Linked DNA regions of Rhinolophus ferrumequinum. The protein of the gene in region 2 purifies or fractionates together with the protein of the main gene of each other region. This does not show direct contact. Links are inferred from orthologs where the notes say so. Each region holds a gene or a part of one and is shown on either strand. Other genes may lie near its edges.

Evidence for each region.
Region 1: the proteins of WDR5 (region 2) and BOD1 purify together in Homo sapiens (affinity purification with mass spectrometry; 3 studies listed by BioGRID and IntAct, counting the BioPlex papers as one, with this or other methods). This does not show direct contact. The link is inferred for Rhinolophus ferrumequinum from reciprocal best matches to the Homo sapiens genes WDR5 and BOD1.
Region 3: the proteins of WDR5 (region 2) and YAF2 purify together in Homo sapiens (affinity purification with mass spectrometry; 4 studies listed by BioGRID and IntAct, counting the BioPlex papers as one, with this or other methods). This does not show direct contact. The link is inferred for Rhinolophus ferrumequinum from reciprocal best matches to the Homo sapiens genes WDR5 and YAF2.

Annotation. Positions count from the first base shown.
Region 1 is NC_046307.1:39,094,240-39,097,985, forward strand, and holds the start of BOD1 (biorientation of chromosomes in cell division protein 1), read right to left. Parts: upstream 2,712-3,746; 5' UTR 2,545-2,711; coding exon 2,302-2,544; intron 1-2,301. UniProt on the Homo sapiens protein: Required for proper chromosome biorientation through the detection or correction of syntelic attachments in mitotic spindles.
Region 2 is NC_046295.1:81,295,213-81,298,958, reverse strand, and holds the start of WDR5 (WD repeat-containing protein 5), read right to left. Parts: upstream 2,428-3,746; 5' UTR 2,272-2,427; intron 1,833-2,271; exon of another isoform or gene 1,678-1,832; intron 1-1,677.
Region 3 is NC_046293.1:45,237,868-45,241,613, reverse strand, and holds the start of YAF2 (YY1-associated factor 2), read left to right. Parts: upstream 1-1,457; 5' UTR 1,458-1,799; coding exon 1,800-1,825; intron 1,826-2,257; coding exon 2,258-2,383; intron 2,384-3,746. UniProt on the Homo sapiens protein: Binds to MYC and inhibits MYC-mediated transactivation. Also binds to MYCN and enhances MYCN-dependent transcriptional activation. Increases calpain 2-mediated proteolysis of YY1 in vitro.

The DNA of each region.
Region 1 (3,746 bases), on a different chromosome or scaffold from region 2:
AATCAGTGGGCCTCAACTCCATGAGTGGACTCTTCCTAAAGGCCAAGAACAGTGACTCACAGGCATAAAGACTCTGCACTAAACCCGGAAAGAGGAAGGCAGGGAGAAGAGTGAGAAGCCAATTTCACAGGCACCTGGGGACTATCTGCCTAGCGACTCCTTCTTCCTGGTAATCACCATCCCTTCTTCATGGGTAGGGCAGTGCGTGTCATGTTCTCCTGGTGACAGGGGTGTGGGTGCCGACCCGTGCTAAGGCAGTGCAGACATTCCCTGGGATTTTTTTTTATTAAATTTATTGGGATGACATTGGTTAGTAAAATTATATAGGTTTCAGTGTACAATTCGATAATGCATCGTCGGCATGTTGCGTTGTGTGTTTACCACCCAAAGTCAGTTCTCCTTCTGTCACCATGTAGCTGATCCCCCCGGGATTTTTCAAACTGGAGCTGAGAGTCCCTTTCTAGAGGAAGAGGCTGTAAGATGTAATCAAGAGATCCTAGTCACCAAGTGGATGACTGCTCTGCACGACAGTGAAGCAGTCATGAAGAACAGAGACGGAGGGCAGCACTGGGGGGCAGGCCTGGTCCAGTGCAGTTTGTCCCTTCCGTCCTTCCTGGCATTCCAGTCGGCAGACCCTCCCCTTTGCTTATGGGAGCTAGAATTAGATTTGTCATTTGTAACCAGGCATCCAGACACTGTACCTTCTGCTATGAAAAACACCTCATTCGCTTTGAGGACCGTTTACTAAAAAAGGACCACAAATGTCACCAGCAAACCTGAACGGATCCTGCCAATACAGACTAATTCCCTCAATTCATGAGTGAAAGGACCTTATGTGCCTCCCGTTAACATTTTCTTACATTATCGAGCCCTCTCTCCACTCGCCCATCAGTTTCTGTACAGTTTGGATGCAAAGAAAATCACAGTCCACTTTCCCGTAAAGACTTCAGCGGTCTGGGTGGGGCCTCAGAATATGCGTTTCTAGCCGGTTCTCCGGTGGTGCTGCTGATCCAAGGACCACACTGACAACCGTGGGGCCAAAGCAACGAGGAACTCAGTAAGAGGTGCTGGAAAAGACACCACCGTAAACAATGAAAACAACCGGATAACGGCCAGGAGGAACATCGAGGAAGGTGTTCCGCGGGGGAGGCTCCAATTCCCTCTCCAACAATTCCTCAATAGTAATTAAAAAAATAACAACAACATGCACACTACACTGATTAAGCCACACAAAACGTAATGGGACATAAGAAACAGGAGCGGAGAACTTGTGATGGGAGGTTGAGAACACTCAGAGTCCTGGGAAAGGCGGGAGCTATCAGTCCGTATGTGAGACCCCCACATAGGAACAAGTAAGCACCTCGTTTCAAGAGCAGCGCTTCTACTGGGTGTTTCATCTTGGAGGAGTAACAGTACTGACCACTTCCTATGTCAGTTTTCTGCCCTGGAGCACAAGCTTTGAGGGCCGGGAAGTGCCTGACTTGTTCCTCCCTCTACGTAGCCCGGCACGAGACAGGCCGATACATGTTCAACGAATAAACAGACTGGGTTTCCCTCTCCTTACGGTCGTCTTTTAAGCTCACAGTCTTGTTGTGAGGTCGGCTCAGGGAGGAGACATCCCGTCACTAGAAGACGCCCCGTCTCTGTCTTGTCAGAGCAGCTCTGGACAGGAACGGTCCAGGCACCACTGGATGTCGGACGCAACACACAGGACTTCATTGCATACAAACCACCTTGGCAACTAGGGAACGTTCACTAGCATTTTACCGCGGGGCGGACCTGTGGCCGGCATCAGGATCTGACAAAAGCACCAAATCCCCTTTAATCAGTAAGGGAGCACAAAATAAGGGGGCTGACTTTACAATGTACCTTAATTCAACTGCATCTGCAAGTCTGCAAATCACGGCGCTGGAGGGGGGAAGAGAAAAAAAGGGAAGGAAGAAACAGCTCCAGTACCGACGAGTGCATTCAGACCATTCGCGCTTACTTACGTGGCGTTCTCCACCATTCTTAACATACGGAGGCTTGCTATTGAGAGGCTTACAGGGACCCCATCTTGGGAAAGATGGGGAGTAGGCTCTAACACCAGTATTGAAACCCCCAGTTCAGAGAAGCGGCTGGGCTCGATTGCACGGCGACTAGTGCCGGGGCTGAAGCCCAACCCGCGTGTGCGTCACTCAGGAAGCTCCCCGTCGTTACTGCCCCAAGCGGTCCGACCTCCCTGCCGAGATTTTTAAAGGTCTCTTTTGTGTTTCTCTCCGCTTTGGAAAAGCAAAGGGGCGACCTTGGCGGCCTCAGTACCTTGGTGTCCACGTCGGCCAGGCAGTCCCGGCGGAAGCTGTCAAACAGGCCCCGGCTCTTGAGCTGCTCCACGATGAGAGCGATGAGCTGAGGGTCGCCGGGAGGGAGCGAGGCCGGGTTGTTGGGGCCTCCACTCCCGCCCGTGCCCGGCGCGCCCGTGCCCGCCCCCGCCGAGGCCTGGCCGGCTCCGCCGCCGCCCACCGCGCCCGTACCCCCGCTGCCGCCGCCGCCGCCGTCCGCCATGGCTGCTCCCCGGGCCCGCGCAGGAGACCTAATACGGCTTCTCCTCAGGGACAGAGGGCCTGGGTCGTGTGGAGGTGGCGCAGGGGACGGAGAAAGAGGAGGCGGCGGCGGCGGCGGCGACGGGAGGGGAGGAGGGGGAGGAGGCCGGCTCTGAGGCAGCCGCGGTGATGGTGGTAGAAGCGGCAGAAACGGCCCGCGCCATCCCGGGCGCTTTGCCGATGACGTCACCATCGGCCTTTGCATTGTGGGGCGGGAGGTTTTCGGCAGTCCTCTCCGGCTTTCTTATAAGGCAGAGGTCTGGCCGCGGAAACTACAACTCCCGGCAGGCTTCGGGTCCGTTCGTCGCCAGTTTGAGGCGGGCCTCGGCCCGCGTGATTTCTGCTACCTAGGCTGGCCGTCCTCTCCATCACTGTGAACCTTTCTCTAAATTAGCACCTCCCAGCAGTGACTGATTATAAGAATAATCCGCGGGGCTGATTCAAGTTTTAGATGAACAGTATCAACCACTTATTATATAAGTATGTGGCCCACATGTCAGTTTTATCCCTTAGAGATGCTAATTTAGTTTTTCTGGGTGGGGGACTAGGAATCTGCTTTTAATGTGCACTCCCGTGGCCTCCTTGGACAAAATCATCCAGGGAATTTGGGAAACAGTGAACTAGTCAATTTCTCTTCGGAAATGCGTGGGCTTCTTTATCACCTGATTTTAATAGCAATGCATACTTCTTTTGGAAAATTGGAAAATAATGGCAAATTGTCTTCCTGAATTCTTTCTTACGTGGGTGGATTTTATCCCAGGTGACTGTCAATAATAATAATAATAATGATAATAATAATAATAATAATAAAACTAATAATGAGTAATTGGAATATGCTAGGCGTGCTGCTAAGCACTTTACACACTGCTTCACAACAATCGAAAAAGCAGATACTATTATCACTGCTATTTTACAAATGTGGAAATGGAGGCATAAAGAGTTTGTTGCCCTGATCACATAGTTAGAGGCAGAAAAGGAGGATTTGAACACAGGTTTACTAAATCCAAATCTTGCAATGTTTAACCTAAGTTTCACTACATCCTGAGAGCTACCTGGCATTATACACTAGGTAAGGCTTTATATATTGAATTTTTTTTTTTTTTGGCCACCATTCACCATTGGAACCCCAGGGCTGCCATCACTATCCTCTCTTTCCTTCAGCCT
Region 2 (3,746 bases):
AGAAGGGGCAGGTTGGGTAAACATGCCAGGGGCCAACGTGCTGGCACACAGCTGATGCTCAGTAAATGCCAGCTGCACGGTGCTTATCCTTAGCCCCAGTGCCGCCTTCCTAAGTGAGCTGGCCAAGGGCAGCGAAGGGAAGGGCTAGGGAAGAGAGCTGGAAGTCTGCTTCACAGAACCCGGCATTGAGGGAGCCAGACCAGGCAAGGGCTGAGACAGGTGGCCCGTGGGGTGCCCGGAGGAGCACCAGTGGGAACAGAAGAGGCTTCGTTTAGGGTGCACGGGCAGTTCAGGAGGCACAGAGCAGCTTCCTTTTAAAACTTGAGACCCACCAGGAGGCAGGGCAAAACCGGCTGTCCTCGGGTGAGGACCAGGGAATACAAATCGGTGGTCTTAACAGGTGCCCAACCCCTCCCCGCTCCAGCCCAACCCACCCACCGCTTGCGCTAGCAAAACATTAACAGGCAAAAATCAGCTGGACTCCTAAAACTAGATTTCTGGTCTCAATGCCCCAAGATTCTACCTAAGGGGGAAGGGGAAGCGTGACCTTTTTCATGAACATTCAGGTGAGTCTGCAACAGTTGTTTTGAGGCAACTGGGAGGCTGGTTAGGGACTGGCTCCGTAGGAAGGAGGGTCTGCGGTGAGCGGGAACAATTTGGAGTCCCCCTCCAGGGCACACGCTACCTGCCCCCTTAGGACGCACAGGTGTGCACCCAGGTGACCCTAACCACCCAGGGCCCGGCCGCCCACTCCTTGGAGTGCTCTCCTGACGCCTTGTAAAAAGCAGATTCCTGGGCTCCACTCCCGAGACTGGGCCCTCAGATGTGGGAAAACAAGAGGTAACTTGGGGACAAGAAGGTGGCCAGCCCCACCTGGGTCCTGGGACACACGCTTCCATTCTAGCTCACCTATCGTTCTATGGAGCCGGGCCAACCTGGGAGGCAGCGTCGGGCGCGACACCTGCCACACGGTTGGTAAATGGACATGAGGAGGAAGAAACAGCACGGCCAGGCGCATCTTTTCACATCACCCAAGATGGCTCTAGCGGACCGGACTGAAACCTCAGCGAGGCCGGAGTCGTCTCTCCCTTCCTGACAGCGGGCCCGCACCCGAGGGACCCCATCCTGGGACCCCGGGCTCTCGGGAGAGCGAAGGCCTGGCTGCCTCGACGGAGCGTGAGCAGCGGGTCGGGGCAGGGGCGTTTCTGCAGGAGGCAGACGAGTCTGCGCGCCCCGTCCAGGCGCCGTTGGCCCGGGTGGGTCTGGGCTCTTCCTTGGGAGAAGCCGCGGAGACAAGGGGCGATGCGGGCTGGCTGCAGGGAGACGTCGCAGCCCCCTGGCTGATGGCTTGTCATTAGACCATTGAGGACCGGCCGCATGGATGAGCGCCGGGAGTCCCGGGAACCGTTGGGGATCCGTCTGGAGAAGCAGAACGGGACCTCCGCGGGCGGGGCTCCGGTAAGCGGAGGGGGCCGTGCCGGCGGGGCTCAGGGCAGATACCCGGAAAGCGAGGCGGCGTGGGCCCGTGGGGCGTCTGCACCGAGTGGCCCCGGCAGGCCGGGACCCCGGGCCGAGGCCGAGCCCGCCGGAACACGTGCGGAGGCGGCGGTTTGGGGTGCAGCGGCGTCGGCCCCCCACCCTATGCGCGTGTCCGCAGGACGGGCGGCCCCCGCTTACCTGACGGGCCGCAGCGGGCGGGAGCGGGCGCTCCGGGAGTCGCATCAGCCGCCGCCTGGGCGGGAGCCAGGCCGAGCTCGACGAGGCGGCACTGGGCCGGCAGTGCGCGTGCGCGTGCGCGTGCGCGAGGGACCGGAGCGGCATTGGGGCGGGGCAAGAGCACAAAGCCGGCCTTTCGGAGGGGCGCTACGGGGAGCGGCGAGGGGCAGAATGCTTCGGGCACGTCCAACGCCTTAAAGGGACAGCGTGATGCGCGCGCTTCCTGCTTAAAAGCGTTAACCCCAAAGGTGGCCGGTGCAGGCCGTTCTTCGCCTGCACTTTCTACACACTGAAGTATAAAGACACTACAGAAAAGTGCTAGTGTGTCCCTCGAATGCTCACATCCTGAGCTCGCCCTGTAGCGACGCTCCCAAGGAGGAGCAGATCTCCCCTCCGGGAACCTAGGGCCAGCGAGGGCCCCAATGTTTCTTCTGGGATCGCGTCCGTCCTGTTGATGGGAGCCGCAGCGTTCAGAGCCCGGCCCTGCCCTGGCCTTCCTCTCCGCGGAGTGTCTCCATTAATGGTCTGGACACCTCAGTAGACGGGGACCCTTACCTTCCCACTTTGCTGGGAGGACCCAGAGCTCCAAAAGGTCCCGAATGCCGGCACTCCGCCCACCCGCTCTCCCGCAGGGCGGGCTGCCTGCTTGGTGGTCTTCCTGCCTCTTCAGCGGAGAGCCCGCCCGGCGCACCTGCTTCTCTCCTGAGGCCCCCTACAAGGAGAGCCAATACGAACAGTCACTGCATGCAGACTGCGCTGCTGTCTGCAAGGTGATGTCACACACAGGTATCATCACCTCCAGTTACGAATGTGGAAGGGGCGGCCCAGACAGGAAGGCTCGAGGGCGTAAGGAGAACCTGGAGCCGCTGTTCTGGCCTTAAGTCCTGTGCATTCTCACCGCCCCGCCCCACTTCTGCTACCATATCGGTCTTAGAGTCTTGGGGGTGGTCAGGGTCTGACCTCCACGCCTCAACCCAAGCCCTGGGTACAATAACATGCAGTCTCTTATTTCCCAATGAAAAATGGGAACACCGATTATGACACAGGAAAGTGTGCAGACAAAAGGACAGAGCATTGAAAATGGAAATGTCCAGGGAAGTGAGGTGTGTGGTTGTTATAGACAAGGGCACCAAGACTGGTAGCTAGTCTGAAAGCCCCCACTTTAAGGAGGACGCAGGGGCAGCAAAGTCCCTGTCTGGCCCCAGCACAGCTCCGTGGATCTCTGTGCCCAGGAGGCCTATTCACCTGTGCCAGTACCCTGGAGCGTGAGACAGGTAACCAAATCTCCATAGTCATAAAGAGGGGGCACTTCCATCCACCTGCCTGCCTTGGTTCCGCCTCCCAACTGGCCTTTTTCAAACCTCTCTGAAGCAGTCAGAACTTCTAAAACGCCACCTCTGATCTGTCACCTGCTGGTTTAAGACTCAGAGCTGGCTTCCCATTGCCTTCGGGTCCAAATCCAAACTCTGCCATGGAATTTACCAGACGGGCCTCCCCGCCTAGCCTGATACCACCCCCAAACTGTGCACCCCAGGCTTCAGCCCCAGATCCAAAGTATAATATATTTCCCAGTCCTCCAACCCTGCAGGGGGAGCAAGACATGGGTCCTGACCACAGAACTCAAACCAGATTCCCAGGTAAATTGGTCTCACCTCCAGCAAAAATGAGAAAATCCTCTAACTTTGTGGAGTGTTTTTTCAATCCATTCCTGCAGTCATAAGGAAAATCCTGACAACAATACAGCAGGTAAAGCAATTCAACAAAAACTTTAAAAACTTGTCTAAGTTTTAAACCCTTTTCTATCCCTCCTAAGATGTTATCAGACTCAGAAAAATCATGAATGGAAGTTGAACAAAGCATAACAACTACAGAGAAGGGGAAAGCATTTTGGAGATTTGTTTTTTCAGAACGTTAACTGTGCTTTGGCCAATGGGAGCGAATTGGAAAATGAATGTGTTTTCATGAACAATTTTTATAGATACGACATTTCTCAAGGCTGCGCCATCAACCAGACAATATGAACCTCTCTG
Region 3 (3,746 bases), on a different chromosome or scaffold from region 2:
AATTTTTGCTCCCAAAGATGCATTAGAGCTGTAGGCCTGGCTAGGTCTTATTTTCGGGGAAACATGGTAGTTAATTGGACAGTTTGAGTTGGTGAAAGACTAATAGGATATCTGAGTTCTAATCCTGGCATGTTCATTAAAGAAAAACCATTTAACCAGGGCTCTAAATTCTTTGTCTTTCAAATGAAGGGATAGACTAGTTGATGAGCAGATTTGCATAGTACTTTGAGTGTTTACACAAATTTGTGTAAAGAGATTTACAAAGTGCCTGGCATAAAGTGCTAAAAATGTTAGTTACTTTATTATTAATCACACAACCTCATAAATATAAATGTCCTTTTGCAGATAAAGAAGTTAAGAATTACAGAAATTAAGCACAATTTCCAAGGTCCATCCGCAAAAGAACAGGGAAAGTACGCTGAGAACCCAGGATTTCTGACTATGCTATTTCCTTTGTAGTTCGTTAAGAGTTGCTTAGCTGTAAGATTATTATTTTACAAGAATTCGGACTTTCTGTGAATCTGGAAAGAAGGGTAGAAACAGTACAAAGAGAAGAGGAAAGTATTTATACGGAAGTAAGCTATGTGTGTGAAGGAAAGGTTTTGGAAGGTCATGAATGAATTTCATCTGCAGTCTTTGCCCGGAGGCAGTTTTTCTGATGGGGAATGGGATAAGGCCCTTACCATAACCGGTAGGGAGAAAGTGTGAAAGTCCTTGAATGCCAGGCTAAGGAGTCTGAGAGCTTTAGCAAACTTTTGATCAGGATGGTGTCATTACCAGCACTGACTAAACTGGGGTGATCCGGCTTGAGCTTCGGAGACCAGTTATATGGTCCTTGTTAGTATGTACAAAGTGAGGGCGTCCAGTATGTTGAGATAATTGAGATCTGGAAGGAAGGTAGCGTTCAGGGCACATGTAAACGCGTTATTTTAAAAAAGGGCTTATGAATACTTTAAAAAAAATTTTTCCCCCCAAGCAGCTACTGCAGATGCCTGGGAAGCCGAGGCAGCGCATTTGGCATTAAAACCAGGGTTAGATTCCTGGCTTTGTTATCTTCTGATTATGTAATAGAGGAAGTCACCTAACCTCTCTTGAGCCTCGGTTTCGTTTCTTCTAAATCAAAGGCAATCTTTACTTGGTAAAGCATTTTCCTGCATAAAACTAGACAGTATTTTAAGGCACTTAGCAATGGCGCTCAATGCTGATTCCCAACTCCCCCCAAGTATCCGGGCTGAGGCTGAATAGCCAAGGGCGGCCGAGGCTGGGAAAGCGGTTCTACCTGGAGACCGCAGCCGGGCACTCTCGTCCGGAGCTGGGCTGACCTCCGAACGCCGGCCCCACGTTGGACTAGGCTTCTCGTGGGGTTGACTGAGCATCCCCCGCCAGCCGGAGGGACAGACAGAGGAGCCCGGAGCGCGTGGCAGCCCCCGTCAGCCGGGGTTGCCGAGGGGAGGCGGGGAAAATCGGGCGGAGAAGCGGTGGCTGAGGCGCCGGAGGCTGCAGCTGCACCCCCACGCCGCCCGCCCGCGAACTCGCGGCGGGTGCTGGGCCGCGCTGGCCGCGTTTGAAGTCTCCGGCGCGACCGCTGGTTGGCCGGCGCGGGTCACGTGCGCCCAGGCAGGAGTTTCCCCGACAGCTGGAGGCTGCGTGGGATCCGGCGGCGGCTCCGGAGCTTGGCGGTGCGGCCTTCCCCGCCCCCTCCCTCCTCCCCCGCCCGCTTCCGCCCGGCTTATTATCCTCCTTATTGACAAACAGAGCGGCCGCGGCGGCGACTCTCGGCGTGCATCTGTAGCCAAGCCATGGGAGACAAGAAGAGCCCCACCAGGTAACAGCGCCCGGGCCCTCGGGCCCGGACTGTGCAGGCGGCAGGGCCCTCGCGTCGGGCTTCAGGCGGCCGCCTGGTTCGCCGCCCGGGCAGCAGGGCGAGAACGGGGGCGGCGCCGCTGCTGCGCGAGCGCTGCCGCGTGAAGGGCCGCCGCCGGCCGCCCCACAATGGAGCCGAGATGGCGGCGGCCGGAGCGGCAGTCCCGGTGTCACAGAGGCCGCGGCCGCGACGATAGCGGCCGCGCTCGCGCCTTCCCCCTTCTTTATTCCCCTCCCCCTCTGAGCCGGAGCGCGGCGTGTCCGGGGCCCGCGGGTGGGGGGGGGGTCGCGGAATTGGGTCGGGGGTCGGGGTGCGGGCGACCGCGGGGCCCGGGCGCTGGGCGCGGCCTGCTGGTGACCCCGCGCGACGTCGTGTCCGGGTTGTGTTCTGCAGGCCGAAGCGGCAGCCGAAGCCGTCCTCGGATGAGGGTTACTGGGACTGTAGCGTCTGCACCTTCCGGAACAGCGCGGAGGCCTTCAAGTGCATGATGTGCGATGTGCGGAAGGGCACCTCCACCCGGTGAGTCCCGGGCCTGCCTCGCGTGCTTCTGGCCAGCCGGGTCGCAGCGCAGAGGACGCCCCTGCGGCTGCCTCCACCTCCCGTGACACTTGCAGACCCGGCGGGAGGAAGCGAGACTGAGGTGGTGGCCGCGATAGGAATTGGGTCAGATTGGTCGCGACCCAAGCGATGGTTTGCGGTGAGGAGTAATTGAAGAGGCTGTATCGTTTTTTTGCTGCCAAGAGAGAATAAATTATTTAAGGAGGGCATTAGCTGCTGCGATTTAATTCGTATCGCTGGGTGTAATGTCATCCTCCCCCGCTCCATTCCGGATATAATAATGTTGGCTGCATTGTTGTGTTAGTGTGTAGGAATCAAAGAAAAACCATGAAATCCTCTTTAGGAGCAAAAGATGTAATTTAATTACGTTCCTCAAAAAGAAAACAATCTGATTATAGAATACCCAGTGGATTTAACTTCCCTTTTTATATAGACGTTTGAACGGGTCACATCAAGGTTTTGTTCAGTGTTTTTTTACAATTCTCTAATATTTTAACTTCCTTTTTTTATATAGACGTTTGAACGGGTCACAGCAAGGTTTTGTTCAGTGTTTTTTTACAATTCTCTAATATTTTATAAAAGTTGGTGGTGAGCCGTCACAGGGACGTAGTTTTACTGAAGGTGTCTGAATATCTTTAGTGTGGTCAAATGGTAATCTATTAGACTATACAAATGAGATTAAATGATCTCTGCCTATTTTCAGTCTTTATTGTAAGCTTACAGTATAATAACTCAGTCTTTTAAAAACCCACTTAAGTGAATTAAGTGGATAAAGAAAATCATCCAGGAAATTCAGACAGTGACATTCTTGATCTGCCAGCCTTAGTTATAGACTCCCTTCACCTTTATAGGAAGGTAGGCTTTAAATTAATTCGTTATAATCCTGTAATTCATAGACTAATATTTAGATAACACATATTTTGATATTACAAAGTCTGTTAGAAACTAAATTATCACAAGAGTATAAGTATACCAATGGGATATAATACTGTTGTTTTAAAAAAGGCATCCACAATATTTATATATTGATTTATATATTCAGAAGTTAGATTTCTAAAAATGAAATATCCAGATTTTTAAACACCATTTAGAGCGTTCCATTAAAAAATTTAAATGTAGAGACAGAAATGGTTGGCAGTATTTTAAAATTTTAAGAATTTAGTGAAGTCAGCTGCTTTTGACATACCTGTCTTTTTGTAAATCTTAACACGTTTTTTGTACATTAATTCCCATCTATATTGGATAAAATATATTGAGCATTTTTTATGGTATCCTTTGAAAAGAGAACTTTCAAACATATACAAAATTCAAGGGACTGTAATAG